Linked DNA regions of Zea mays. The protein of the gene in region 1 binds, or shares a complex with, the protein of each later gene. Links are inferred from orthologs where the notes say so. Each region holds a gene or a part of one and is shown on either strand. Other genes may lie near its edges. The genes, in order: THO complex subunit 1-like, THO complex subunit 6 and THO complex subunit 3-like.

Region 1 (10,054 bases):
TGGCGTTGGTGATGGGCGATAGGCGGATGCCGAGGTCCAGTGTGCCTTTGATGTAGCGCAGTATCCGCTTCAGCATGGTGTCGTGGACGTCGCGGGGCGCATGCATGTGGAGACACACCTGTTGAACAGCATACGCAATATCTGGTCGTGTTAAAGTCAGATATTGGAGTGCACCAGCGATGTTGCGATACGCCGATGGATTGGAGAGGAGAGTGCCATCAGTCGTCGAAGATTTCGGCTTGCAGTCAGCTGGTGTCGAAACAGGCTTGCAATTTGACATGCCGGCGCGATCGAGAACATCAGCGGCGTACTTGGCTTGGTTGAGGAAGAAGCCAGTACCATCCCGACGGACTTCAGTGCCGAGGAAGTAGCGCAGGGGTCCCATGTCTTTTATGGCAAATGCAGTCCGCAGCTGTCGAATGATGCATTGAAGCACAACCTGAGACGACGCTGACAAAATCATGTCGTCGACGTACAGAAGTAGATAGGCGGCATCGTTGCCGCGGTGGAGAATGAAGAGCGACGTGTCAGCCTTGGATTGAGTGAAGCCAATACCAGTGACGTGTCTGGTGAAGTGCTCGAACCAGACACGTGGAGCTTGTCGAAGACCGTAGAGCGATCGGGAGAGAAGACAGACGTCGTCAGGCCTGTGTGGATCGACAAAGCCAGTCGGTTGCTGACAATAGACGTTGTCGGTGAGGTGGCCATGAGAAAGGCATTGGAGACGTCCAATTGGTGCGCAGGCCACCCGTGCGTAGCGATGAGAGTCAAAACGGTGCGGATCGTCGTAGGCTTGACAACGGGGGAGAACGTCTCGCCAAAGTCGACGTCGGCGCGTTGATTGAAGCCGCGCACAACCCATCGCGCTTTGTAGCGTTCAAGGGTGCTGTCTGAGTGGAATTTATGCCGGAATACCCATTTACCGGTGATAATGCGAGCACCCGGTGGACGAGGAACAAGAGTCCAGGTTTGATTGTGTTGGAGAGCATCGAATTCAAGCTTCATCGCAGCAAGCCAGTTGCTGTCACGAAGAGCCTGTCGGACTGAGGTGGGCACGGGAGAAACTTGTGGTGCGGATGTGTTGCTGGAGATAGGCATAGCATAATCCGTGAAACGAGCAGGTCGTGAAGGCACAGCACCGGTGCGGGATCTAGTCACCATGGAATGAGGACGTAGCGGTGGATGCAAAGGTGCTGCAGGGTGGGAAGAACCTGGAGAATCAGACGTTTCGTCAGGGATGGGCAGCTGGGTTGCGTGCTCATGTCCCTGTCACCCTTGACGTCGATGAGGCCAATTACGGCCACTGGCGGTGCTTCTTCGATGAAGTCCTCGGCAAGTTCGGTCTCGCTCAGCATGTTCGCTCGCCGCCCCCGCTGGACGAACGCGACGCTGAGTGGCACATGGCTGACCACTGCATCGTCGGCTGGATCTACACTACCATCTCCAAATCGGTGTTCGACATCGTCCACACACCGAAGCGTTCTGCATTCTCCCTCTGGAGTGACATCGAGAACCTCTTCCGTGACAACGAGCTCCAGCGTGTTGTCTACCTCGAGGCGGAATTCCGCAGTCTCCGACAAGGCGACATGACCATCACCCAGTACTACGCTCGCCTGAAGCACCTCGCCGATCAGCTTCGCGACGTCGGCCACGCCGTCTCCGAACCAAGTCAGGTGCTCAACCTCCTACGCGGTCTTAATCCTCGGTTTCGCCATGTCAAGCCGGTCATCACCGCCAAGTTCCCACCACACACCTTCATGAGCGCTCGCTCGTTCCTCTTGCTCGAGGAGTTGGGCGAGGAGCACGACGCCAAGACCGACGCCGCTCAGGCTCTGGCCGCTGGCCACAGCTCCGGCTCCAAGCAGTCCTCGGGCGGGGAGAGCTCCTCCGCCAACTCCAACGCCTCCGCCGCTCCACCAGGCACTGGATCTGCCAGCTTTGGCGCTCCTCGTGTGCGCTCTCGCAACAGGCGTCGCGGGCGCGGCTCTGGAGCCGCCAACAACGGCGGCTATGCACCACGGGCCCCTGCAGGCCAACCATGGACCGCGGGTTACAATCCCTGGACTGGCATGGTCCAGGCGTGGCCCATGCCGTTCCGTGCCCCAGGTGCGGGCGTCCTCGGACCTCGTCCACCCGTCCAGCCCCAGCAGGCGATGGCTGTGACTCAGATGTATGCGCCGTCAACTCCGAAACTTCCCCAAGCCCTGTACTCCGCCCTTCACTCCGCCGGCGTCGCCACTGCTCCATCCGCCTCTGACTGGTACCTTGACACCGGCGCAACCAGTCACATGTCGTCCACCTCTGGTATGCCTTCGATGTCTTCCTTCGAACCTCATTCTGCGACAGTCACGGTTGGCAATGGTGCCCTTTTGCCTGTCCACAACCGTGCCTCCGCCACTCTGCCCACCTCTCATTATCCTCTTCGTCTTAATCACATTCTTCTTTGTCCTTCGCTGGTTAAGAATCTTCTTTCCGTTCGCCGTTTAACTCGCGATAACAATGTTTCTATTGAATTTGACTCCGATGGTTTCTCTATCAAGGCTCAACCAACCAAAGTGGAGATTCTCCGATGTAACAGCACCAGCGATCTTTATCCACTCCGCCCACTGCAGCACCTCGGCCTCACATCTTCATCAGCCTCGTCGGTCTCCTTATGGCATGCAAGGCTCGGACATCCCGGCACTCCGGCTCTGTCTCAGCTTCTTCATAATTTCCCTTTTCATTGTAATAAGGCTACCGATCACAATTGCCACGCATGTCGCCTTGGCAAACACGCTCGGCTGCCATTCTCTGCTTCAGCAACAACTACTCATTTTCCCTTTCAGTTAGTGCATTCGGATGTCTGGACTTCACCAGTGCTTAGTCATACTGGTTTCAAATATTATGTCGTTCTTCTTGATAATTTTTCTCACTATGTGTGGACCTTCCCGCTGCGTCAAAAATCTGACGTCCCCTACGTCCTCCGTACGTTCTTTGCCTACGTTCATACCCAATTCCGCTTGCCTATTCTCGCTGTCCAGACTGACAACGACAAAGAGTTCGACTCCTATGCTATGTGCACCTTCTTTGCCGCTCATGGCACACAACTTCGCCTCTCCTGTCCCTACACATCCCAACAGAATGGGAAAGCCGAACGCATACTACGCACTATCAACAATTGCCTGCGTACCCTCCTTCTTCATTGTGCAGCTCCTTTAGCGTTCTGGGCCGAGGCACTCTCCACTGCCACGTTTCTCCTCAATCGGCGTCCATGCCGCGCTACTGGCTCCACAACTCCCCACCAGCTCCTTTTCGGCACGCCGCCATCCTACGACGACCTGCGTGTCTTCGGGTGTTGGTTGTTCAGGAACAAAGGTGTCGGAGTCAGAGGAGGAAGAATGGCCGTCCATGGCGTGTGGAAGAGGGGCAGAGGAGGGATCGAGAGGTTGAAGAAAGTGAGAGCAGCGGTGAGCTGAAGTCACTGGGGCCTGGTGAATGATACCATGAAAGAGGTGAATTGGATCAACGCATAACTTGTATTAATCTCAAGTGATCTATTTATACACGTACAGAAGGCGGTGGCCGAACCTAACGGATCACAGCTGATCGGCCATGCACCTAGAGAATCGGCAGAGGCCGTTACATGAACAAGAGACTCGGTCCTAGCTGTTACAACTGGATAGACTCGTTGACACTTCTTATATGGAATACCGGGAGGGCGGTCTTTCCCTCCCCGGCCGAGTTTTTTAAATGACACGGTAGGACAAGTTAAAAGACCAGTGGTGCATTTCTCTCCAGCCAAAAAGAAGTGCTGGAAAACTCCAAGTCTCCAATACATTCGAAGGGTGATAATTGAAGGTGTTCGGTAGGTTAAAAGAACCATGGGTTCATGAGGTTCAAGATTTTGGTGATACAGTACAATCAACCATTTAGATTATAGCCAAGATTATCAGCAATACTTAACACACTTTGCAGTTCAGTTTTTGATTAATCCGTTTAATAGACAAGGTTACTAGGAACTGAGCCGATCTCAGTTGGTGCGCAAGGTGCAGGTTCATGTCCTCTTTAACTTTCAATTTGGGTGTCCATTTCTTCGTACTGGCAATGCCACATAGTTCATATCAGGTCTTTTTTGGGGGGTTAGGGTAGGGGATTTTTTTTTACATACGAGATTAACTAAGGTAAATCAGCTGGCCAACAAAATAGCCATTTAGCCAAGCTGAAATGTGGGAACAACAGCAAATATAATTTATAAACTTCAAAGGGTGGGCACAGCAGAACAACTGAATCTAACCTTCGATAGTCTGCGAAGAAGTTGGTTGCAAGTCCTTAGCATAACTAGTTTGCCACGTCCAAAAAGTTCTTGCTACAAACAACCCAAAACGATAATCAGTCAACAACGTTACAAGCATGCATCTTCTCTATTTAACCAGAACTAACCAAACGAAATAGGGATCAAAATTACCTTCCCCAATACATCTTGCTGGCTCTCAATATACCCAAAGATATCTTTGCAGTCTTTGATTGTTGACATTTCAGTTAGGTCTTCTAACAGCTGGAATACCATACCACCTTCAACATGCCCTCTTTCGCAAAGGTAAAGCACAATATCTATCATGGAAGAGCATTGGTTTCTCAGAACAGAAAATAATACTACACATGCACCAAATAGTGCTCAGAAGGTGATGGCATAAGTCCTTAGATAGGAACAGATTCGAACATAGAATGTTGGAAGAAGTGTAACTGACCAAGAAGGCGAGTTATCAGGCAGTTACTTTCTCCGCTATCCAAAGAATTCCCGTACTGCATAATCTTTTTATCCGATTGGACCGCAGATGACTAAGAATAAAAAATATAAAACAGAATCAGCAATCAATTTTGGTTCCTAAGATGGCAAATGAACTATACACCTGCTGACCTGCACTTTTCATATAAAACAGAATCAGCAATCAATGTAATTTTCTAGGACTGAAATAAAAAAAATACAGCCACGTCTTCCGTTTTATTTTAGAAATCGTCATTAAAACTCTGCTACTCTGAAACATAGTATTCCTAACGATGCAGTGACCAGAACAATGCACGCGCCAACAACACTCCCTAACCACCTTATCATCAAGTGAGATCAAAGAACAGTGTAGCCACATGGAAAGTTACCACAAGCTCCTGCAGCAAAGTTCGAAGAGCATTTTCCAAGGACTGATTCTCCTCTAGAACCAACACGGTTTCCTTCTGTGAAATGAGATATGTGTGTCAAATCAGATGATTAACTGAACTAAAAGACAAGTCGAATCAGATAGGTATTACCCAAAACACAAGCAAATAAAATAGAGGAAAATAATAACATGAACCACTGACGGTTCATCATCAAATCAAGACTCACAAGCATGCCAGATTCAACGTACATACCTGAGGTTTAATTGCTTCCTGAACCGTCTGAAGGGAAAATGTTTCCGGGGGTTCGTTCCTAGACAACGCGCTCCTGAAAACTCCCTGAAAAGAGCAAAGGCCACATTTCACCAAGCGTACACGTGTGGTAGCATGGAGAAACAACTCCCCTAAATTTCCAATGTTCCTTCTCCATCCTCTCACACAACCCCTAATTAGGCCGCTACCAACGGTTTTTCCAACGCCTCTATGGAAGTTCCATGGTGATTTTGCGATCGAAAGTTCCTTTCAAAAAAAAAATTTGCGATCGAAAGTCGAAACAGAAAGAAACGTGATGCATGAAACAAATTGCAACCGTGTGGAGGCACTGGATGGGAGTCCACCAGCACTAGCACTAGCACTAGCACAGTACCACTCGCGGGAAATGGACGAAGACGGGACCCTTCGTGCCACCCAAATCAGGGACAAAGTTTCAAGTTTCTACTATGACTGATTGACCGCGCTAGGGTTCATGAACAGAGTGGGAGGGAGTTTTAGCTCACGATGATGCGGTCGCGGTCGGCGTGGCTGGAGACAGCGGCGGTGGGTGGAGGGGAGGGAGCCGGCCGGTCCTTCGACAGGAGGATACGGAGGCCAGCGTTCGACACCGGAGGCGGCGAGGGCTCGGCCATGGTGGCGTGCGCGGTAAGGCTTACCCGGTTGAGTCTGGGCGATCTACCAGGCGCCTGGAGAGGGTCAGCCTTTGACGCGGTGCCGAACACAAGATAACAGCACTGGGCAAGCTGCGGCGGCGAAAATAGGCTACGATACGAGCACGGAGGGAGGGGAGAGGCTCGCCGTCGCAGAGCAGAAGGAACAGATGCGCCGTGCGCGGCGGCAGACTGGCGAGCCGTCGAGGAGCTCGAGCTGAGGAATGAGGAAGGAGAAACACAAGACAGATGGACCGCGAACCTGGGCTGTGCATGGGCTGCGACCCATAACGGATGTCAAGTGTGAGAGTCCATGTCCATCACGCAAGGAAACAGTACAGACCAAATACTACCTTCCCCGTTGGGCATTTTTTTATTTCTTTTGTTTTTTAAAATCTATATCTATATCTATACACCCATCAGTTTAAACGTTGTAAAATTCACACAACCAAATCACCCTGTTGGCGCCGATCTGGATGCCAACCACTGAAACGAACCACCTGCGCGGTGTGCTCTCTACGGAGGCGCGAACGGTCCGCGGCACAGGGCACAAGAGCGGATCCTCCTATGCAGGCTTTCGGATGTGTCCGCGCCTAGGGCCGGACGGTCCGCAGTGGTGGAGAGGGTCTTCATCTCCGTGGAGAATCCTAGAACTCGCCACGGGAGAGATCCCATCGAGGGGGAGAGTTCCAAGGCGTGCTCTGGGTCGGCAGGCCGCCTGGTGCTCCTCTAATCGGCGTAGAGTCAAAGAAGAGGTTGTTGTGGAAGACTAAACTAGATCTAAACCTAAGGCAAAATTACTCCTACTCCTAGGAATTAGAAGAATGATGCAAATAAGGTAATTGATAAGTAGATTTGATTGGATCGATTGTGAGAGGTTCAATCGGTTGTACCCCTTCATCCAGATAAAAGGTGGAGGTCTAGACCTGTTACAAGTCGGTCATCAAGTTATTCCTACATGCTTTGCTAACAAATCCCGCTAGAAATTCGGAACCCTATCTGATTCTGCGTACGTGTAGACCGTCTGTGTCGCCACCGTGGATAGTTCGGACCGCGGACCATCCGGCCCTAGGGCGGACGGTCCGGGTGTCATTTTTGCTATTCAACATATGCCCCCTTCCTTTTGGTGAAGGTTGACGAACCAAAAGCATATGCACTAAGCCTGATGCAAGTCACCGGCTCTTCGACCTAATAGGGTGATCATTCAATATAACTCTAATGTATAAAGGACGTTTCAGATTGCATCTCTCTCGGCCATGACCATCCGATCAATGGATCAAAAGGTATGGAATGGAGGAGCTCCCAGCCTGAATAGGCAAAGGACTATGTATGTACCATGGGTTCATCGTCACAGGATAACATATCAACGATGAGTAGGCGGGTGGAAAGTATCCTGACATCACTAGAGATGGATGAATAGGCAATGATTGTTGCGCCGCCTTTTGGGTCGTTTTATTCGACCGTTATGTTTTAGCGGATGACTAGGGTTTCTTTGTTGGCCGATCGCGTAGAACACCCTTCTTGCTAGCGTATTTGGATAGCAATTGATTAAATTAGAGTCGGTTTTGACCAGCCGACCATGTGCGTTACATGTGGTTTGCCCTTGCATCCCCTTTGCTTTTTGTGGAGGCTGACACCTCTGGCCATGGGCGGACTATCCGACTGAGTCAGCCGGACCGTCTGCATGAGCACCGGGTCGTCCGCGCGCAGGTGACGGACAGTCTGCAATGTTCGAGTCAGGGAGCTTTACTCGAGTGCTCGATTGAACCAGCCCCTGGTGCCTCCATACTTGTTAGTATTTCTATCCAGAGATTTCCGAGCAATCCCTTCTTGTGATATATTCGACGTGCGAGGATCGCCAATGACGACGTTTTTGCATTTGCCTTTATCGACCACTTCCGGCCGAACCAATACCTTTTTGCTTGCTAGCTCTATTATATTGATAGCAAATGATTACGTGTCCACTTGCAACTAATGAAAACTCAATCGACCCTCATTTACGGCCGATTGTATCTTTCGACGAAAAACATTACAATCATTGGTGGCATGGGAAAAAGAATTATGCCACATATAGTAATCACATCTTTTTAATTCATCTAGAGGAATATTATACGTTAATTTAATGTTGTCATTTTTAGTAACTCGTCAAATATTTTATCGCATTTGGCAACACCAAAAGTAAATTTAACTTTTTCTTACCGTTTTTTTGAACCGGCTGCAAAGAAAAACATGCAGAAGGTTTAGCCTATGTTGGCCAAACAAGTTCAGCGGTATATACATCTGTTGATTCATCAAATGAATTTTCGCGCCCCACTAGATGCATCTTGTGGCTAGCCGATTTTGATGCCTCTTTACTTTGGTTTTCACATGCCAAAGCTCGCTGGTGCAAGCACACTAACGAAAAGAACTGGGTGCCATCTAATTTCTCTTTTAAGTAAGGTTGCAACCCATTAAAAGCCAATTTTGCTAGTTGTTTTCCACGACATAGATATGAAAGCATCAGTTTCTAGTGTTCTAGAACCTCCGGATATAATCATCAACCTATTCTTCAGGCCCTTGTCGGACTGAAGCTAGACCAGCTAATTCTAACTCATGTTCTCCTGAGAAGAAGTGTTTATGAAATTTTTGTTCTAACTCCTCCCAAGAGTTAATTGAGTTAGGTGGGTTGCGTACCGTGCGAATATGGTACCAGTCAGAGATAGCGAGAATAAACGAACACGGTAGGCTTCCCTATCAGCCAATTATCCTATGTGTGCTAAGAAATGGCTTGTGTGTTCATACGTGCTTTTCCCGCCTTCACCGGTAAATTTCGAGAAGTCTGATACCCTAGTCCCTTGCAGACATGGCAAGACATCAAATCGGTGACTATAGGGTTTCCGATACGACTGCAATGTGCCTGACACACTAACACCGAGTTTGTCTTTGAACAACCCAGCTACCTCGTTGTAGGATCTAGGACACCGGCTAGAGGGGGGGGGGGGTGAATAGACGGTTTTGACTAAAATCAACAATACTAAATAAATTTAATCAATACAACAAGAGGAATTGAAAGGGAATTAGGCTTACACCTAGTTCCTAAATAATTTTGGTGGTTGAATTGCCCAACACAAATCTTTTGGACTAACTAGTTTGCCCAAGTGCATAAGTTATACAGGTGTAAAAGGTTCACACTCAGCCAATAAAAAGACCAAGTTTTGGATTCAACAAAGGAGCAAAGGGGGAACCGAAGGCACCCCTGGTCTGGCGCACCGGACTGTCCGGTGTGCCACCGGACATGTCCGGTGCACCAGGGAGACTCAGACTCAACTCGCTGCCTTCGGGAATTTCCAGAGGCGACTCAGCTATAATTCACCGGACTGTCCGGTGTACACCGGACAGTGTCCGGTGCGCCAAGGGAGGTCGGCCTCAGGAACTCGCCAGCTTCGGGAAACGCCAACGGCTCGTCCACTATAATTCACCGGACTGTCCGGTGTGCACCGGACTGTCCGGTGCGACTCCGGAGCAACGGTCGTCTCCGCGCCAACGGATACCTGCTGCGCAATAAATGTGCGCTCTGCGCGCGCAGAAGTCAGGCGCGCCCATGCTGGCACACCGGACAGCAAACAGTACCTGTCCGGTGTGCACCGGACACCCAGGCGGGCCCACAAGTCAGAAGCTCCAACGGTCAGAATCCAACGGCAGTGATGACGTGGCAGGGGGCACCGGACTGTCCGGTGTGCACCGGACTGTCCGGTGCGCCATCGTGCAGACAGACTCCCAACGGCCACTTTTGGTGGTTGGGGCTATAAATACCCCAACCACCCCACCATTCATTGCATCCAAGTTTTCCACTTCCCAACCACTTACAAGAGCTAGGCATTCAATTCTAGACACATACAAAGAGATCAAATCCTCTCCAATTCATCACAAAGCCCTAGTGACTAGAGAGAGTGATTTGCCGTGTTCATTTGAGCTCTTGCGCTTGGATTGCTTCTTTTCTTTCTCACTTGTTCTTGAGATCA
Region 2 (10,058 bases), on another chromosome or scaffold:
AATCAACAGGATAACCCGGTGCTTGTGAAGTTGGATAGAGTACTCTGCTCGGCTGACTGGGAATCATACTTCCCAAATGTGCTTCTGCTCAGTTCATCCTCTCAAGATTCAGATCATTGCCCGCTGCTTCTTGGTCTAAAAGACAATATTGTTGGCAAGAGAAGGTTCCATTTTGAGTCCTTTTGGACCAAAATGGAGGGATTTCAGGACGTGGTGCTGGAGGCTTGGAATTCTGTACAGCCGGTCAGCTGTCCCTTCATCACCCTGGATAGGAAACTCAAGGTGACAGCCATGAGGTTACGCAGCTGGAGTGATAAGCAGGTAGGACATATTGTTTCGCAGCTTTGTCTGGCAAAGGAGTTGCTGCATAAACTCGAAATCGCTCAAGATCACAGGGCCCTATCTCCGGCTGAATGCTGGCTTAAAAATAGACTCAAGAAACAGTCCCTGCTGCTGGCCTCCTTCAAGCGTACCATGGCAAGATTAAGATCAAGAATATCCAGGATTAAGGAGGGGGATGCAAACACCAAGTTTTTTCATATGCATGCTAGATATCGGAAAAGGAAAAATCTGGTGACCTTGCTGAAAGACGGTGATAATATTATTACTAGCCATGCTGCCAAAGCAGATTTAGTGGATCAGTTTTATTCCAACCTTATTGGTCAGTCGGTCTCCAGGGAGAATACCATTGATTTAGCTGCTCTCGGCCTCCCAGCTCATAACCTCTCCATCTTGGACGCCCCTTTCACTGAGCAGGAGGTTCTAGCAACTGTCTTGAACCTACCTGCTGACAAGGCCCCTGGCCCAGATGGTTTTACTGGGAGGTTTTATAAGGTTTGTTGGAACATCATCAAAGTGGACGTACTCAATGCAGTTTCAGCAATTTGGTGTAGGAACTTCAATAACTTGGATAAAGTTAATTCTGCATATATTACTATGATCCCAAAGTTTGATGGGGCTGATCAGGTGAAGGATTTCAGACCGATTAGTCTTGTGCACAGCTTTGCAAAATTGGTAACCAAGATCCTGGCCAATAGGCTTGCTGGTCATCTGCATGAGCTTGTCTCCCCAAATCAGAGTGCCTTCATCAAAAGCAGATTTATACAGGACAATTTTATATTAGTGCAGCAAACTTCAAGATTTTTACATCAGCAAAATATGGCATGTCTTCTTTTTAAGCTCGACATCACAAAAGCCTTTGACTCGGTTTCATGGCCTTTTCTGATTGAGGTGCTGCAGGCTTTGGGTTTTGGCCAAATCTGGAGAAATATAATTTGTGGGTTACTTGGTTCCTCAACTACTCAAGTGCTGCTCAATGGGTGCCCTGGCAATAAAATCCAACATAGAAGGGGGCTCAGGCAAGGGGATCCCCTCTCCCCCATGTTATTTATTTTAGTCATGGATGTCCTTTGCCTTCTATTTGCCAAAGCTGAAGAGACAGGGTTGCTGCAACAATTGTCCAACAGAAAGAAACTTCATAGAATTTCTATTTATGCTGACGATGTGGCCCTCTTCCTGCTCCCAACTCAGAATGACATTTCCACTACTCTGGACATTCTCAACATCTTTGGGAATGCCTCAGGTCTACACAACAATGTGCAGAAATCCAGTATTTATCCTATCAGATGTTCGGAGCAGACCATCCTGGAGGTTCAAAGCTTGTTACCTTGTGGGGTGGAGTCCCTACCTTGCAAATACTTGGGTCTCCCTCTTTCTCTACACAAACTAACCAAACAGCAGCTCCTGCCCTTTATTGAGAAAATTGCAGATCTTCTCCCAAGCTGGAAGGCAGAGTTGTTGAACAAAGCTGGCAGAAGAATTCTAGTGCAGCATGTCCTAACTAGTATGACAATCTATACTGCAATGGCTATTGATTTTCCTAAGTGGGCTTTGGATGCAATTGATAAAATTAGAAGGGGATTCTTATGGAGAGGCAGAAAGGATGCTAAAGGAGGTCACTGTATGGTAGCCTGGGAAAAGGTTTGTAGGCCTCTACATATGGGAGGCCTCGGGATTTCTAACCTGACTAAGCTTTGTTGGGCTCTCAGAATGAGGTGGTTGTGGCTGCAAAAAACTGATTCTTCGAGGCCATGGGTGGACCTACCCATTCAGGTCCCAAGTATTGCCAGGTCCTTCTTCTCTGCAGTGTTGATGTCAGAGGTTGGCAATGGTGCGAATACTCTTTTTTGGGTGGATAAATGGATTAATGGGAAAAAGGTAGCTGATATTGCACCAAGACTGTTCTGCACCATATCAAAAAGAATTGCCAATAAAAGAACAGTGCAAGAGGCAATGGACAATAGGAGATGGATTAGTGATATTAGGGGCGCTCTCTCAGCAGGGGCCTTGATTGATTTTCTGCATCTCTGGGAAGCTTTAACGGATTTTCAGCTACATCCTGATATTGAAGACAGACACATTTTTTCCATAGCGCCAGATGGTAACTACTCAGCAAAAGTTGCTTATGAAGGGCTCTTCCAGGGATCGTGCTCCTTTCTTCACCACAAAAGAATCTGGAAATCCTGGATGCCACCCAAGTGCCATTTCTTCCTGTGGCTGGTGGCACATGATAAATGCTGGACTGCTGATAGGCTGCAGAAAAGAGGCATGAACCATCCGGCTAGGTGCCCTCTTTGTGATCAAGAACCTGAAAGCATTGATCACCTGCTGGTTTCCTGTGTGTTCTCAAGAGTTTTCTGGTATAGGCTTTTGAGAAAGTTTGGGTTACACAGCTTATCCCCTCAGCAAGTGGAGCCTTCCTTCCTTGGTTGGTGGGAGAATTCCTCGGCTCAGGTCCTCAACATGGGAAAGAAAGGACTGGACTCCCTTGTTGCTTTAGGGGCCTGGATGATTTGGAATCATAGAAACAAGGTGGTGTTCGATGGAAGGACCCCCTCTATCTCCTTCCTTCTTCAAGCTGCTGAGGATGAACAGGAGACGTGGCGGCTGGCTGGTGCCAAGGGGCTTTCCTTTTTGGCCAGCCAAACTACCTAGCTCCTAGGGCTGTAGTGTTTTTTGTCCAGTTTTATGGATAGCTTTGTGTATGCTTGTTTCTGGCCTCCATAAGGAGTGCTTGTACCTGGGTCCTTATGGCCCTTTATTTTCCCTCTACTTTAATATATGGGTGCGCAGTCCTCCTGCGCTCTTTCGAGAAAAAAAAAATACAATGCACAAGACAGGAAAGGATGATGGTTTGAAACCCGCACCCCAGATACGAGCTGTCCCATCCTCTGATCCTGTTACAACCTGATCAAAAAATAAGTCAGTTAGTAACATATCACATATTGTACATATTATAGACAAGATGAACATCAAATAATGGAAAGCCAAGATAATCAAATAACCTGGCGGTTTGACTCACGAACTGCAATGCTGTGCAAATAATCAGCATGCCCCTTGAATGTGATTTTACATTTACTGGTCTCCTGAGAGAAGCAGTCATGATTAGCATTAGTTTCAGATACCTTCTCAAGCACAGAGCATTGATATTATCCAAGCTTGTAATGCTAAAGACTCTAAAGCAGAACTGCAGTTCCTTCTATGTGTGTTCAATTTACCTTAAGAAAATACATACCACATCCCAGCAGTAAGCACATGCATCACCCGCTGCTGCCAAAATGGATCCATCCTGTTTGGAAGAATGATGATAACAGAAAATAAGATTTGTTGAACCAAGCAATATGCATGAGGAACGAAAATTTGGGACAGTCACACTTCCTGGAGGATATAAAAACATGAAAAGTTCCAGTTGTTAACCTGTTTATTAATTGCAATGGCATTGTTTTCAGGTACTGGAGATCGAGCACCCCAAGGACCCCTACAAAATTGCCAGCAGCAACAATGTTATTAAAGCTACGTTTAAACTATGTTTAAACGTCAAAACGCTAATTAGAGCTTGAAACCACGTTTTGTCGTTCTAAACTGTAAAACGCAGTGTTTTATGTGTTTTAGACCATTAGCTACTTTTGGGCCCAGTCTGTTAGTTAGGGTCCAATCTGGCTCATGGGTGAAGTTTTGATAAGCCACTAGCCTCTCTATTTTGGTATTTAACTTCATGTTATTGTCTGAAATTATGATATATTGGTATTTTTCCTATGTTGTTCAAAACTAAGTTTAAACTTTGTTTAAAAGTCAAAACTTCACCCATGAGCGTTTTATCGTTTTAATAACCTTGAGCAGCAACAATGCAAACAGGGTAAATTGGGGGGGGGGGGTGGGGGGGGCAGCTGCTGGAATAAACGGTGTAAACTGGAAGGTCTGAGATTGCAGTTTTATCACAGAATCCTTACTCGTGCTGAGGGTTGACCAAGTCAAGTGCTGGTTCCAGATGATCCCCTGTGAACAAAGGCAACAGAAAAATTGGTAAAAGCAATAACAATGACCAAAATGTAGAAGATGCACTAGGCAATTTTCGGCGCATTTCCACACAGATACTCGTTTGTTCTCCCTTTTCTCCTTTATAGGAAAAACAACATATGCTCGTTCCTTCCACCTTTTCTCATGTACGAAAAACAACAGATGCCTTGTTTCACTTTTTATCAATACAACTATACTGGTTATTAAAAAAACTGAAATAATATTAACTTGGCCTTCAAGGCGCAACACACAGAAAAACTACAAAAGATATTGATGCATCTTCATAGATAAAATAAGTAGCAACTATGAAACATTTTCACATGAATCATGCCTTGCACTGGCAAGATTCTAGATTTGTATCTATGCCAGTGCAGGGCATGATTCATGATTTCTCCTGCATCAAACCTACACCATTGTAAAAAATGTGCATATTTTTTCGGTGCACCTGTGCTAGATGCATCGCAATGCCCTAGTGGCCTGGTAAAGCATATGACCATTTATGAAAGAAACCACGTCAAAAAAGAATGGAAGTTCGAATGCAGCACCTTGCAGGGAGAGCGGGACAAGGCAGCTCTGCATCTCGTGCCACCTCCAACCCTTGATGCGGCCATCGTCCCCGCAGCTGCCACAAGGAAGTAAGCAGCCAAAGAACCGCACAACCATTAACCCATCACCGTCTCCAACCAAATGAAGCACATTGCCATGGGTAATATTGTCAAGAAGCATAAGAGCCTGTTTGGAAACTTTGGATACAAGGGCTAGTTGCTAGTGCTAAAGAATTAGCCAAAATTAGCTCTAGCGCATCCACCGAACAGGAGGGCAAATTGGTGGATTATTTTTTTAGCCAGGTCTTCAACTAGTTGGAGAAGTCAATAAGGATAAGAGCCTGTTTGGATACAAGGGCTAGTTGCTAGCGCTAAAGAAATAGCCAAAATTAGCTTTAGCGCATCCACCGAACAGGAGGGCAAATTGGTGGGTTAATTTTTTTAGCCAAGTCTTCAACTAGTTGGTAGCCAACTAGCTAGCTAACCACAGCTAATTTAAGCGAATTTTTAGCCTCAACTAGTAACTAGCCATGTGTATGAAACATGCCAAGTCAAACATTCTGTCAGTCACCTGAAGAGCAGCGGCTGCTGTTGATCGGGGTAAAACCTGACGTCGTAGGCAGGTCCGCTGTGCGCTTGCACGATGCAGACAGGATCTACCAGAGTGGCGGCGGTCTCCACCTGAGAACCAGACCAAGAAAAACTCACTCTACGCCTCTCTGGGCGTGCGTCACCAAAAAATCAGTTCTGGCCAAAGGGTACGAACCTGGGAGGTAGCGGAACATGCGGAGATGCAGGATGAAAGGGAGAAGGAAGCGAGGGAGCCGTCGCTGGAGGCGGCGGCGAGTAGGATGTCGGTATCCGGGTCGTCGCTGTGGTCAAAGAAGACGGCACGGAAGAGGGTGCGGGACGAGAGGTCGCGGGCACGGAGGATGCCGCGGCGGTACGATGACTCGTCCCACCGGCGCGCGTCCATCGATGCCGGATGGGACTGCGCCGCCGCCGTCGCCATGGCTGTCCTACTCTGCGCTGATGCGCTCTGCGCTTTTGCTTCGGGGAGCGAAGGGATCAGGGAAGACGGGGACAATTCCGAGTTCCCGACAGAAAAGTGAAAGCGACAGCGGGTTGGGCTGGGCTTCTTTCAACTAGAATTCCGCCGGCTTCTGGCCCATCTTTAAACTTTTCCATCAAAATGCTTTAAGCCTTTGTGGCACGCTCCCTTATGATTTTAAACAAATAAATTTATAAGAAAAAATATTTATATGGTTTTCTTGAGAACATCTCCCTTAGGAGTTATGCAATTTTTTAAAAATAAAATCTAGTCTAATTCACACAAAAATATGGTTTTGCTCGACAAAAATATGAAACAATTTTGAATTCTTTTTCTAGAATCTTTTGTGGAGTTATTTGAATCTTCTATGGATACATTATGGTGACATGGATTTTGTATAAGGCAAGGGCAAAGTGACTTCGACAATGTTATGAGTGTTATGTAATGACCTCATATGCAGTGCTTAGTTGATGAGCTAGTTAAGATATTTGTTATTGGTGACTTGTTGAAGCTTTTGTAAAAAAACGCAACTGGGCAACACAATTAAAGTAAAGTCTCTCTCTTTTTTATCTTTGATGGGTTCTAATGTACCATTAAATAACGTAGACGAAGCATGTATTCAATTTACAAGGGTCTACATTTTTCCTTTCTCCTTTATTGGATTAAACAAAGATGAGGAATACATAGCAGTTATGAAACCTTTGGAAGGTATTGAAGGTTTCTTAAACTGATTTAAGTGCTTGAAGATGACATACCTTCTAATACTCTTTGTGCACGAAGGTGCTACAGGCTTAGACATACAAGTGACCAACCCTTGTAACAGTGGCATTGTACACTTATTTATAAGATCAAGATTACACACATTCCAACTCAGAAAAAGAATGTCCACTCCTCTATATGAAGACTATGTACAACTAGAGACTAACATTATGTCTTTTTTAGGGAAGAAGTGTTGTATACACCTTTTCTTCCTCCTTCGATAACGTACTAAGGTAGTTCAATCCTATTAAAGTTTCATTTCTTCCTTCTCCTTTGGCTTGTCGTTTCTTGATGGAGAGCCGACCTAAGCCTCCGATTTAGACACATGGTTCGGAGGTAGCCAATTGAAAATAGACTAAAGCAACAATTTTCATCAAATATAGATATTCGACCAAAAGCTCTCCTCAACACTTCTCTAATCGTTGAGGTCACCCTTCTATATGAAGTCTAGTTCCTCCAAGTCAATTATAAGTATTATAGATAGAAGAATAACTACTATAAAATAAACATCATAATGAACCCATAAAATACCCAAATAACTTCAAACTGGATCTAATAATAGAGCATGTTTTAGTTAAATATAAATGTAGTTTTTTCTAATGATTTTTAAGGTTAAATTGGATTTGAGATTATTTATTTGTTAATTTTCTTTTCATGGACATCTTTTCCAAAAAATGACATTTGAACCTTGAGCTATGAGCATGTTCCGATTTATCACTAGGGTGATACCCATAGGCATTGTTTCCAATGGTTGTAGATACCAAATTAACATGTAGGTGTGAGTACATATATGAGGTTATACAAACGCATATGGATCATATGTCGATTCAGCTGGTGCTTCAAATATATAGTACAATGCTCGTGCGTTGTGACGACACACAAATTATTCGATAAAATGTTAGTGCACAACGATTACATGAAAACAAACAATACATATATTATAATTGATATCAATATCGCACATATTCTTATGCGACATGAATTGACAATTTCCAACCGAACCCTAGACACTTATACATGTTGCCCGCTAGAAATTCCTCAAACTACTAAACTAAGTAGGCAGTCCGAGATAACCATGGTGGAATAAGAGGCAAGTGATTTCGGGCCAATAAATTTGCACTATCGACCAACCCATGAATTCTAGAATATAAAAATATTACTCATTGTTACATCAACCGATAGGAATGAGAATACATCAGCTGATAGAAATGAAAATAAACATGCATATTGTATCGAGAACCTTATATACACAGGCCCAAACCATGGCAGGCTAATTCATTATTTTGTACACTTGCACACATTATATGGGAGTGAATTAAATTATCCTCACACACACTTACCTGTGTTCTTCCCAAATTTTCCACTTCTTATCATCCACTAAATCTAAGAACACTCGAACTTCTAAATTGTTTTCTTCCTAAATTGCAAACAAAACATTCCACATCATTGGTTATAATCACATGTATCAAATGCAGTTGCTAAAAAAGGAGTGACATGCATTAAAATAGTCTATAGAACACAAATGAAGTTATCTATGACAAGTGAGGAGGCTGTAAGTATAGCCTAATGTCCTAGCCAACATTTTTAAGTCTCCATTTCCAAGTTATAAGATATTTTGGTTTTTTTCTAGCCACATAGCTTGTGCTATGTATTTTGATAAAATATTGGTCATGGCAAGGGAACTGCTCTTCCATCATCTTAGGGTTTGTTTGTTTTTCAGCTTTTTTGCTGATTCTAGCTGTCACAAGCTGTCGCGGACTACCAAACGCTCAGCTTCTCAGTTCGCTTCTATGAGGATCGCTTTGATGAAAGTTGTTCAAAATTAACGTGAACACACAATCGGTCGAGTCGTCGCGACAGGAGGAATCCATCACTTCCTAGATCCTAAACCCCATGGACCCCTTCATTTTCCTTCGCATGTAATCCACATAATACTCAAATTCTCCTCACATCCATATTATCCCTACAATCAAATTCTCGTAAAAGCTCGTCAGAAAAAAACTGAAACAAACAGACCTTTAAGTAGTTCCACACTGGTTGCTATGTTCACCTCTCATTGCATGTGTAGTGCAAAAAATGATTAAATTCTAGGTTGGACTTATGTGACATAATAGAAAACTGTCTTTTCTAGATTTGAAAGACAAACACCTTTTATCTTTTCAGAAGACAAGGCACAATTGCTTATCTCTTCTTAACACGGTTCCTCCTAGGTGGTTTAGGATTACATTTAAGAAATAGGGTAAAAACCAGTATGCCCATAATTTAGGATTTTCGTATCAAAAAATTCCTGAAGGATATGATGCCTACTAAAAGTAGTCTAGAGGGGGTGAATAGGCTAAACCTGAAAATTATCACCAGAACCTTCGAGATAATGTTAAATCTACAGTTCAACTGGTGCAGGCCAGTTCAACTGTAATAAAGGCAAGTTGAACTACTCTGAACCAGTTCAACTGCTAGAATAAATCTAGACTATGAACTGTGCAGAAAATAGAAGATGGATCTCTTATAGTGGAAAACGCGAGAGATAAGCTAAGCGTGGATGGTGAAAATACGAGAGTTAATTCACCACAAGATCCACACGGCGAGTAAACCTATATGATGTCTATCTTGCCAAATAAAATCACAATCATAGATCGAGCAAGAACACAAGACACAAGATTTATCCTGAGGTTCGGCCACACCACAAAGGTGTCCTACTCCCCGTTGAGGAGCCCACAAAGGGCAGGGTCTTTTTCAATCCTAATCCTCCACAACCCGACCACCAAGGTCAAGCGATTCTTTTTCTCAAACTTGCTCACAAGAGAGGAGAATACAAACTTCTTGGGGTCGTCCACAAATTTGGAGACTCCCAAGCAACCTCAATTCATCTTAAAACCCTAGGGTTTCAAGAACACAAAATCGCACAAGAGGTGTTTGCAACAAGCTCAAGAGATTAGAGTGAGACGGGAGAGGAAAACCAAATCTGTGAGCACAAGCACAAACCTCACACCAAAGGGCTCCTTCAATCGAGTTGAATCGAGAGCAATTTTGGGTGAGAGGAAGAAGTGTGCCTTTGTCTCAAATTAGGTGTGCAATGAATGTGTGTGTGACCAGTAGTTATGAAGAGATAGGTGTGGGGGCTATATATAGGCTCTCTTCAAAAGTAGTTGTCTGACTTGATTTTTCAAGGGGAGACCGGTTGAACCGCCCTAGGGGGCAGTTGAACTGCCCCTAGTCTGACTGTTAGCCTTTCTGCCAGTCAGACTGGCAGACTGCTGGACAATCTGGTCAAATAGGCTGAGATCGGTTGAACCAGCCCTAGGGGGCGGTTCAACTGCCCCTATCTAACATGTCAGAATGTCTGCCGG
Region 3 (10,071 bases), on another chromosome or scaffold:
CGCAGGACAAAGTATCTAGCGTAGAAAATAAACTAGATCCACTGGCAAACTAAATTGCTCCTCTATGTAAATTCTGAATTCAGTAGTTGCATGAACAGAACAGGTAATCATTTCTTCTCAAACTCACTTACATGTAGGTCATGTCCTAGTTAATCACTCACCCAGAGGTTGCTATTAGTTAACAATTTCTTCTTTACCTAGAGATGAAGCTAGGCTATAAAATTTCAATAATTCTTGTTATTCTGGTCTTTTAAAAAGAAAAAGAATTTTGTTATTCTAATAGCCAAAATATATGTGAATAGGTTGTGGCAGTATTAATTGGAATTAAAGTAATTAATCATGCAAGCATCAGTGTCAAATATTTATAGAGTTCACTGTTACATACATCTTAAATCAAATAGCAGGCCAGATAACCCAATTGAAGTAGTACAAATTACAAATCCAAGTGATCCAAAGAAGTACCAGGGGCGAGAATAAATAAAGAGCCTTCAATAGAAAATACCTATCAAGTGGATCCATTGCAATGCAATAACACCCTGCTGTATGAGCATTCAGCTTGCAGGGCTTTAAAAACTCAAGATCCTTAACCACCTCAACGTGCCCTGCATGACCAATAGACCATGCGGAAACATTAACTGATACAATATGGTAGCACTAGAAATCTGCCAAAATGTAAATACAGTGTTTATTTATTCAGTATTATTAACGTGAGCTTGGAGAAAGCATTTAGTATCCTACCTAACCCAGTAGTAATGAAGAATAGATCTCCAGCTTTATTCCAAGCAATCTCATTCATCTGAGGAACAAAGCAATAATGCAAAGTTGCAAACATTAAACAGTGAAAGCAATATTTTTCCTTGAACACACATGTGTATCAGCATTGAGGGAGAGGCCAAAATGACAAATCAGTCCTCCCTCCCCCCCCCCCCCCCCCCCCAAAAAAAAAAGTGCAAAGTTGCAATGAAGAATAGATCTCCAGCTTTATTCCAAGCGATCTCATTCATCTCAGGAACAAAGCAATAATACAAAGTTGCAAACATTAAACAGTGAAAGCAACATTTTTCCTTGAACACACATAATGTGTATCATTGCATTGAGGGAGAGGCCAAAATGGCAAATCAGTCCATCCCCCCACCCCCAGGTCTGAGTAGGTGGCTGAGTAGCAGGTCCTAAGTTTGACTCCCTATGACAGCAAATTTTATACTGGGGTGAAAAAAAAACCTCATCTGCCGAAAGGTTCATGATCAGCAATACACAAATTAAAATAAAGTATACGAGCGAAAGGGCCTCTAGCTGAGTTAGCTAGGTGGTTTGAGTTCGATTCCCCATGAGAGCGAATTTCAGACAGTGTTAAAAAAATCCTCTTGTCTGTCCCATGCCAAAATATAGGTGTAAGGCTTGGTCCTGGTCGTGGTCGTTCTTACATGGACTATGGTGCCACTGTGTATGGGTGGAGCACTGGAGCAGGTGTCCGGAGGTTTTCTCAACATGTGTGAGGTCTTCTTCTTAATACAATGTATGGGGGTTGTCTTATCCCCCGCAAGTCAAGTTTTAAAATAAAGTATATGTTCAATTATTTGCTAAATTCATACAGCAGTACCCATTTACTCAAAAAACATCCATACATCAAATTGTCTCAGACAAGCACACAAGAACAGTGCTGCTCATTTTATTTCTACAAGGCGAAAGGGTCTCTAGCCGAGTTGTTTAGATGCTCTGAGTAGCACTCCTCAGGTCCTGGGTTTAACTCCCCGTAGGAGTGAATTTTCAGGCTGTGGTTAAAAAAAACCCTCGTTTGTCCCACGCCAAAGCACAGGTCTAAGGCCCAGCCCCGGTCGCAGTCGTTCTCACATGGGCTACGGTGCCGCTGTTTATGGGTGGAGCAGGGGTTCGAGGGTTTTCTCGACCTGCATGAGGTCTTCTTAATATAATGTCATGGGGTCTTAATATAATGTCGTGGGGCGGTCTTACCCCCTCCAGGTCGAGTTTTTATTTTATTTTATTTTATTTCTACCGACATGTATATGTGCATCCTAATCCAAAGAACAGTTGGATCAAACAAAGAGTTGTTAGAAAATGATTCATATATCCAAGCTTCAATTTATAATTACCTCGTAAGTAGACTTGTGTTTCTTAGCAACTTTAAGTGTCCTAACATCCAATATCGTCAGCTCATCCTCCTACAAACCATAACAAAACTGTTATTGTAGACATATAAATATATAATTTGAAAAAATTAGAGTTTCAGTAATTTGTAAACATCATATAGATACAGTTTTATTAACCTTATATGATTCCCCTCCCCCCTCCCCCAAAATGCATGTTTTTCACAAATTACTTAAATTATTTACATAGATTTCTCAAGCTCAAGAATATTTATCTATAACCAAACAGAATAAAACATGTCACAGCTCCATCTAATTGATTAATTAATATGCCTATATGTACAACTTTAGGTGCATAATCCAATTCTATATTCTATATTGTTATGATACTGCCATACTGGTACAGGATTCAGCAATGCAAAACTGTAGGACTTCCAGAAAAGAAACACCAAAATAGCAATATGGCTGAACTTTTTTAACGTACTTGCTGAAAAAGGTATAAGCCAAAAGTGACAGTAGAACAATCCATCTTACTGTAAATAAATAAACCTAACCACATTAATATAGGTCAGTTTTCTAAATGTATCCATTCTTGGCATTAGCAGAGAAAAGTTAGGCAGTACAAACCTTGTTTCCAACAGCTATCTGAGTGCCATCATGTTTATATGTGATGTTGATGTTTTCTCCACTAAGTTCAACAACTTGACATTTTCCACCTAAAAAGACACAAAGAAGCATTGACGAGAAGATAAAATCATTATAACTTGATTGACAGAAACTACCACCAAGAGTCCAAGATAGAACAAAAAATACAACATATATCATCTGAAAGCCAGATGTCACATATGACAAAATAGCTTCCAGATAAAGTTATTACATAATAGATCTTTCCACATCAAATTTGTTGTAAATGTGGGGTAATGTAGGAAATAACAAAGGGCCTGTTTGGATCTTATCAGATTCCAGGTTCGAGCCTGTAGAAGCTAGGATGGTCTCCAAACACCCACCATCTTCACAAGCCCGCTTCCACAATCTCAAAAGCTGAATGAACTTCGCTTCTACCAGCTTATAGAAATTTATATGGATCCAGATGCAGTCAAAATAAAAGATGTATTTCATAGATTTTAAGAAGTATAATGCTAAATGCATTATGAAATGCTAAAGAAAAACTGTGCTTTCTAGCAACATCATGGATGAACTGTGCTACTTACTTCGAGCATCCCAAAGACGAATAGATTTGTCAGCAGCTGCAGTAGCAACTGTATCAGGATGATTTGGATCCCAGCAAAGCTGATCTACACTATCTGTGTGGCCTTTCAGTTCAATATCTTTAACCTTAGACTGTAACAAATTAGCACAAGTTCCCATTTAGATCTTTCAATGGTATAGAAACATACGCTGAAATTACACTCTCTGGCTCTCTGCTACCAAATAGAAAAGCATAGAAAGGGCTATTATTAAGAATCAAGGTAATATACTCTAGTTAAAAGTTATTCAAAACTCTACAGCTTACTCTGAAGATTCCATCGGTTCAGAATAAAACCACGTCTCGTGCTACAAATTATGGTAAAGGTTTCGTTGCACTATAAGAACATTATATGTTGAGTTACACCACAATAACTGATAAACTGAAAAGTAAATTATATTGCGCACAAGCTAAAGAAACAGGAATATTACTGTAAAGTACCTGTCACAATTTCTGCAATAGCCAAAGCTTGAAGTTAAAAGGGAGGTGCAGATGAGAAGCATTTGTCCCTCTTTGGCATATCACGCAAACTAATGCTTTCTTAAGTTCAATGTCATAACTTATTATCTAGGTTCTATAAGATAGGGAATATACCAGTTATGCAGATTTTCAAAATTTACCAAACCGATCATTATCTTAATAAGAAAACAGTGGGGAGCGTATCCCATTCTGTAAAGATAAATTTGGTACCAAGGACAGAAGGAGAGAAAGTTACATGGACATGTGGATCAATGCTCCAGACACGTGCGGTATGATCGATCGATCCTGAAGCAAGCTTTGTGCCTAGGCAGTTCCATGCTACAGAGTGCACCTAATGATAAAAACTATCAGAATGGTGAACACAATGATAAGATTACCAAAGAAATGCATAAAACAAAGCAAAAATAAGAACCCACAAATCAATCTAAATTTTGTACCGACAAGTACTAGGGTAGAGTGGTTTTGCTTTGAAGATCGCTATGAGGAGTTAAGGACAATTAAGCAACACATTCAACATAATGTAAGAAACAAAGAAAAAACATCCTCAGAATGTCATATATTCATCCTGAAAGAAAGATCATTCCTTCTTATTTCTCCTCATTGCAACTTTACAACATGCCCTAAGATAATCTCAAATTTCTTTATAGAACCAGAGGAAAACTGCTCTTGCTCCCCTGCAAGGACAGGCACCACGGCCCCTTTGCTGCAACAAAGGACAACCAAAATAGATTGCCTATTGCAACTAAATTCATTTGCAACTAACTGTGGCTGCAGCAATATTTCGTTTTCATCATGCCTTAACATTGACTCCTTTCATGCTCTATATAAAGAGAAGAAATAGCTAAATCCCCTCTCCACGCTTATAGCTTCGAATCGAAAGCAAGATAGGTCCACGATCCCATCTATGTTCTCAGGAACCAAACCGGAAGGCCCAAAGATTGTTACTTCCGCACCTTGTTTCATCATTCTGCATGCAAGGCCGGAATTTAGGGCCTCACCCTACGAATTGCAACCCTAATGATTGGAACTTCGAAACCTTTCTTCTGGCGAGATTCTGGGTTTTATAGGGGCTCAGAAGAAATTATAATGGGATATTGGGGAGGCGTTGAGAGGTATTACCTTCTTCTTGTGGCCGTAGTATTCCCTCGACACCAGGTCCCTTAGATTCGCCCCAGGGGTCGAGCCGCCGCCGGCGGCGGCGCCACCGCTGCCCTTCCTCTCCTCCTCTCTGCTCTCCATGCGCTCTCGCCCCGTTTTGTCCGGGAGGGGAGTAATCCAATTCCAATCCCAAAGTACACAAACTAGCCCATGAAGAGATCGGGCCAGGCCTGATGGGCTAGGCTACATTAAAACATTCAGCAACTCAGGTCCTGTTTGTTTAATATGATCTAGGCCCATGATTCCATAAGCTACCAACCTTCATTTTGAAAGAAAAACCTATTCCTTAACTGTCACACCCGTTTCTTTGAGACAGAGCCGGGTGCATAGCATATGTGTGCCAGGATTTATTTTCACACATATATTGACATTACAAGTGTAATATATTAAAAGAATGATACATAAGAGCGTAAATAAAGATTATATTAACATGTTACACTTCGAACAGACATAATGTCTTAACCTTTATTCATCAAAGTACAGCGAAACATGGACATCCATCCACAGGAAGATGACCGGGGGTATCAATAGACTAGCATCCATGGAGCTCAGCATCATAACTTCATCTGCAAACTTCTGATCAAAATTTAAGCAAGGGTGAGCTCACTTATGGTCAGGGCTCAGCAAGTGGGGGAAAATGCAAGGTAACAAGGTAAGGCTAAAGTTAAATGCGATTGGCATTTTAGTTGGTCAACATTTTATTAACAACACTTGTCTTACTAATAAGTGTGAATCCCAAGTATTCCCATTAAACAAAGGTATAAGAGTATATCAAAAACACTTAAGTGAAACCACTTAAGCAAACCATTGGCAGATCATCGGATCTCGATTTATTTCCATCTTCAAGTTCAATTATCATGTGAGGAGTCTAGGCTGCTCTTAACCGTGAGCACAGCTGATATATCAGTTTTACACTCTGCAGAGGTGGCGCATCTTTACCCATGAGTCACGATCCCCTTCTAGCTTGGGTTAGCTAGACCTGTATTCACTTCCGAGGTGAATGGCTAAGGTCTCACTACGAGGCTTTTCCCTAGAGTCCTCATTATGCAAATGCTGGAAATGGTCAAACTGCATAGAGCACATCTAACGTAACCAACTTATAGTCCAGTCTGCAGGGTAAAGCTTTGGGAATTATGCATGTATCCAATCTGTCTGAGCCAGAAATATAAGCGCTTGCCAGATGCCCCCGTTCCGGTCGACCACGACCAGCACCCAACATAAGACTTCCCTAGTTATTTAGCCAAGGGCGTCCCATACCACCCTCATGGTAGCACTGTTTTCCCGGGTGGTCACTTCATGTTCCAATTAAATCATATGATCTTGCTTAATCGTCGGATTAGCAACAATAATGTAAACTTACCAATTGGAACCTTAATATCACAAATCGGAGTGACTGCATAAAGTTAAGTTGTAGCAATAGCATAGCTACGAAGGTAAAGTATAATACCCAAGTTTGATCAAGGAATATGGTAGAAAAGGTTAGGTGTATCCGAATAGGTAACCCATCAAATTATGCATATATATCTAAGTTCTTAAAACCTGACCCGGTTTGAAACACCGACCGCATTTCACGGGTTCGGCACCTAACGTTTACTGACGCGTGGCAGTACAGCATCGGACGCGCCAACATGTGCCCCCCTCGTGCCCTGCCTTGCCTGTGTCGCCAATGCATGCTTTCTCTCTCCTCGTGTCGCGCTCCCAGACACCGCTACAGTGCGCACCCACATGCTACAGAGCTTGGTGTCCGGTGCAGAAACCAGCTCAGGTCAGGCCTTGCCTTTCGCCGTTCGGTCGCCGCGCATCCGCTATAGCGTCGCATCTGCCAACTATAGTGACCAACGTCTGTTGCTGGCAGGTGCTCAGGTCACGCCTCGCAGGTCGCCATGCCGTCGCGGCACGCGGAGGCATGGGCACGGGTGTATGGTTGTCCTTCAGTCAGGCGAAGGTCGCATTCGACCGCGAGCCCTAGCCTCCGCTTGACACCATCCGTGATTTGTCCCCATGGAGGCTGATTTGACGCTGCTGTTGTGCCCCCTGCTCTAGCGCGGACCACAGGCAGCTTCCACTTTGAGAAGATGTGTTGGGGTTCGTCCTCGCCAGCCCTGAACGTGACTGTCCTCTCTGACCACGACGATGCGCGCCTTGACAACAACCCCACGTCTAAGCAGTGTCGCGGCATGGACACAAGGTTCGTACTTTCTTCCCTTTTATTATCTCCTCCTCAGTCCCCCTCATCCTCAATTCGCGTTTTTGTGCCCTACAACTGAAGTTTCCCCCAAAATCGCCTTCCTTAGGCCTGCGATTTTCCATTCTTTGTGTGTCGTATCCACCGTCGCCAAGGGATTTGCCTGATGTGGTGCTCGTAGCGTTCATGACCTATCTCTCGAGAAGGCCTCCCTGGGTGCAGGTTCATTTCCATTCTCATGTTAGTTCGCTTGCCAATTCAGAGCTGCCTTTAGGATTTCTCATGCATGTTTACTAGAACTGGTAGATTAGTTCATCTGCTGCTACTGCCATTGTTTCCTCTAGAGTTCAGTTTTTTGGCTTTGTATGCTTCGTTCGTGCCAGGAGCTTAGGGAGGCTACAATTTGTGAAAAAATGCAATTTCATCCAGTAGTGAATCAATCTGCATACAATTATTACCTCCATTTGTCTGCTAGATAAAGTTGTCCTTGGCTTTGATTTTTTAGATTGCAGGGTACATACACTTATTTCAAAAGAAAAAGGATTTCTCCATCACGAACAGTCTGATGCTTTGCCATTCCCTCAGGATGTAAAAAAATGTTTTCCTCAGCTTGAAGAGAAATTATGCTTTGTCAATCGCTTTAACAACTAACTAATTTAGGACCCCCTTCTTCGAGTTCTATTTTTTAGTGTTTTCTCTTTCTGAAGTGAAATAAATATCATGTCTATTTTTTGTAGGACTCGTGCACTCGAAATCTATAGCTTTTAGAGTCTTTGTTGTGCAAATCTTCTTACAAAACCTATGGTTCTCTGGAACACTCTTTAGCATACAAAATTTTTTATGAAGGTTGTCTGATAGACAAAGCTATCGGTGACCCTTTTCTTGCTTCTTTGTAAATGCAGAGTATGCCAACTTTTGTCAAGAAAATAAAAGTCAGTCATCACAAAGCAACCCACTACTTAGTCATTCCCTTATAGTATAAAGCATAGAAATATTCTTAGTAGCTTGGATTAAAAATGATGGTTTGCTAATCACTAAAACAGATAACTAATTAAAGCCCTTCTTCTCTCATTTCCCTTGTGCTTCCATTTTACTCAAAAGAATATGTGATGTTGTTCAAGGGAGTACTATTTCTAATCTGATGGAGGCATGTTTGTAGCAGGCATCCTACCATTGATGCTCCTCTACATCATGCTTCTAGGAGTACTGAAGTTCTGCCAGTTGGTTATGGCGACCAAAGAACGAAAATATGCTTATAGGAAGAGGCAAGTTTTATCAGCAAAAATTGTGCTCCTTCTTATGCCTACTATATAACAGTCCATTTGTGAATAAATACGTCAACACTTCTAAATCGTCGCGCTCACCTAGCAAGTTGGCTGTGAAGAAGTTGTTCACTGATACAGGTTATGGGAGCGTCGTTGGCTCAGGCAGTCCAGACAACACCGTCAGGTCCAAGTAATTATTTGCTTCTATGACAGCCATATGTTATTCTTGATATCAAGGTTTAAAGGGCACCAAACATAGACAGTTTCACAACTTTTCAGTGTAGCAAGCATGTTGAGTTGCAAAGAGAGGATTGCATGCATTTTGCCGTCACAGTTGCAGCCATACCTTTTGCTACACCGTCGCCACCTATTACTACTATTTTGATGTTGCTATGTACATAGGCTTCAAAAGGGATATGTGGTCCATGTTCATGCCTGCTCCGTTGCCTAAATTGGAGACACACGACCTTAACAGGGTATGTGTACTTTAGCTCTTGTGTTCACAACGACATATGACATACAACTGCACATGCTTTTCTAACTGGCTATATTGACATATCCAAGATATGTTGATAACAGAATCATAAACTTGGTTAGATTAGAAAGTAACCTTCCATTTTACTTTGGTGCAAATTTGTTCTTCAAGAATTCAGAAGAACATATAACATGATTGATGAGGATGAACCAAATTCTAGAGAAAGCCATTGGGTAATTATTAATATTTTCATTACATGTGGTTCATTTTTTTGAATGAATAGAAAGTTATAGTAATGCGTAGTTTTACCAATTTTAGTACTGAAATTGAATGGTACCTTGGAACATGCTTGACACAAAAGGTGCTAAAAAAGAGCCACACAAGGGGTTAAAGACCACTAAACCTATCACAACTAAAGATTGTGTGAGCTTCTTCAACTTTTTTAGTCCACTTAAATTCCCTAATGATGAGAAGAAAATTGATGACGATATAGTAAGTTTTTAGCTTATATGTACCTGCTTTTAAGGTTAAATTGAACTTGATTCGAGTTTCCCTTTTCTATATGCTGGCGACAGTTGTAGAATGGAATGGAGCAAGATTATAATATTGGGTATGTTGTTACGTGTTCTGTATTACAGTGGTTACTGTCCTGTTACAGATCATGCTTCTATGGTAAGTGGATTTGATCATTCTGTTGATGCACCAAGACTAAGAATTTGTTTATTACTTCTAAACTATCCTTTCTATATCTGCCTTCTAGGTCTATATACATGATGAGCTTGGAGCCTTGGAGGCTTGAACATATTGTGAAACATGAGTACCAATTGGTGTCATATGACATGTTGATGTATCTAAAAATTTGCAGTGTGGATTAGTGATTGTTGATTTAATGAACATGCAAAATATAAAGCGCAACATTTAATAATACCCGCTAAGAACAAATTGTATACGGGACTGACAATAGCTAAGCAACCAAAGTACCCATTTTGCTTGAGTCTTAAAGCAACATGAGGAATCCAATTTACACGTTTATACATTTAATAGCTCATCAGTTTGCTAGTTTGCCAAAGAAATCAGGATTAAATAGAACAAGGATAGATGCTGAGATTGAGGGTTTGATGCTTCAAATAGAATTCACTTGATAAAATTTATCATGC

What was found.
Region 2: THO complex subunit 1-like (region 1) and THO complex subunit 6 share a complex: the UniProt entries of both Arabidopsis thaliana proteins name them as parts of the THO complex. The link is inferred for Zea mays from reciprocal best matches to the Arabidopsis thaliana genes THO1 and DWA1.
Region 3: THO complex subunit 1-like (region 1) and THO complex subunit 3-like share a complex: the UniProt entries of both Arabidopsis thaliana proteins name them as parts of the THO complex. The link is inferred for Zea mays from reciprocal best matches to the Arabidopsis thaliana genes THO1 and TEX1.

The regions. Positions count from the first base shown.
Region 1 is NC_050096.1:2,946,901-2,956,954, reverse strand, and holds the start of THO complex subunit 1-like, read right to left. Parts: upstream 6,303-10,054; 5' UTR 6,036-6,302; coding exon 5,907-6,035; intron 5,470-5,906; coding exon 5,386-5,469; intron 5,209-5,385; coding exon 5,134-5,208; intron 4,819-5,133; coding exon 4,728-4,818; intron 4,591-4,727; coding exon 4,445-4,590; intron 4,346-4,444; coding exon 4,274-4,345; intron 1-4,273. UniProt on the Arabidopsis thaliana protein: Acts as a component of the THO subcomplex of the TREX complex which is thought to couple mRNA transcription, processing and nuclear export. Contributes to the integrity of the endogenous trans-acting small interfering RNA (ta-siRNA) pathway.
Region 2 is NC_050102.1:102,979,359-102,989,416, forward strand, and holds the start of THO complex subunit 6, read right to left. Parts: upstream 6,053-10,058; 5' UTR 5,914-6,052; coding exon 5,668-5,913; intron 5,583-5,667; coding exon 5,473-5,582; intron 4,979-5,472; coding exon 4,902-4,978; intron 4,336-4,901; coding exon 4,290-4,335; intron 3,818-4,289; coding exon 3,757-3,817; intron 3,629-3,756; coding exon 3,575-3,628; intron 3,426-3,574; coding exon 3,345-3,425; intron 3,247-3,344; coding exon 3,207-3,246; intron 1-3,206. UniProt on the Arabidopsis thaliana protein: Acts as a component of the THO subcomplex of the TREX complex which is thought to couple mRNA transcription, processing and nuclear export.
Region 3 is NC_050102.1:86,884,453-86,894,523, reverse strand, and holds the start of THO complex subunit 3-like, read right to left. Parts: upstream 5,096-10,071; 5' UTR 5,071-5,095; coding exon 4,951-5,070; intron 4,163-4,950; coding exon 4,067-4,162; intron 3,447-4,066; coding exon 3,317-3,446; intron 2,822-3,316; coding exon 2,733-2,821; intron 2,181-2,732; coding exon 2,112-2,180; intron 797-2,111; coding exon 739-796; intron 603-738; coding exon 503-602; intron 1-502. UniProt on the Arabidopsis thaliana protein: Acts as a component of the THO subcomplex of the TREX complex which is thought to couple mRNA transcription, processing and nuclear export. Contributes to the integrity of the endogenous trans-acting small interfering RNA (ta-siRNA) pathway.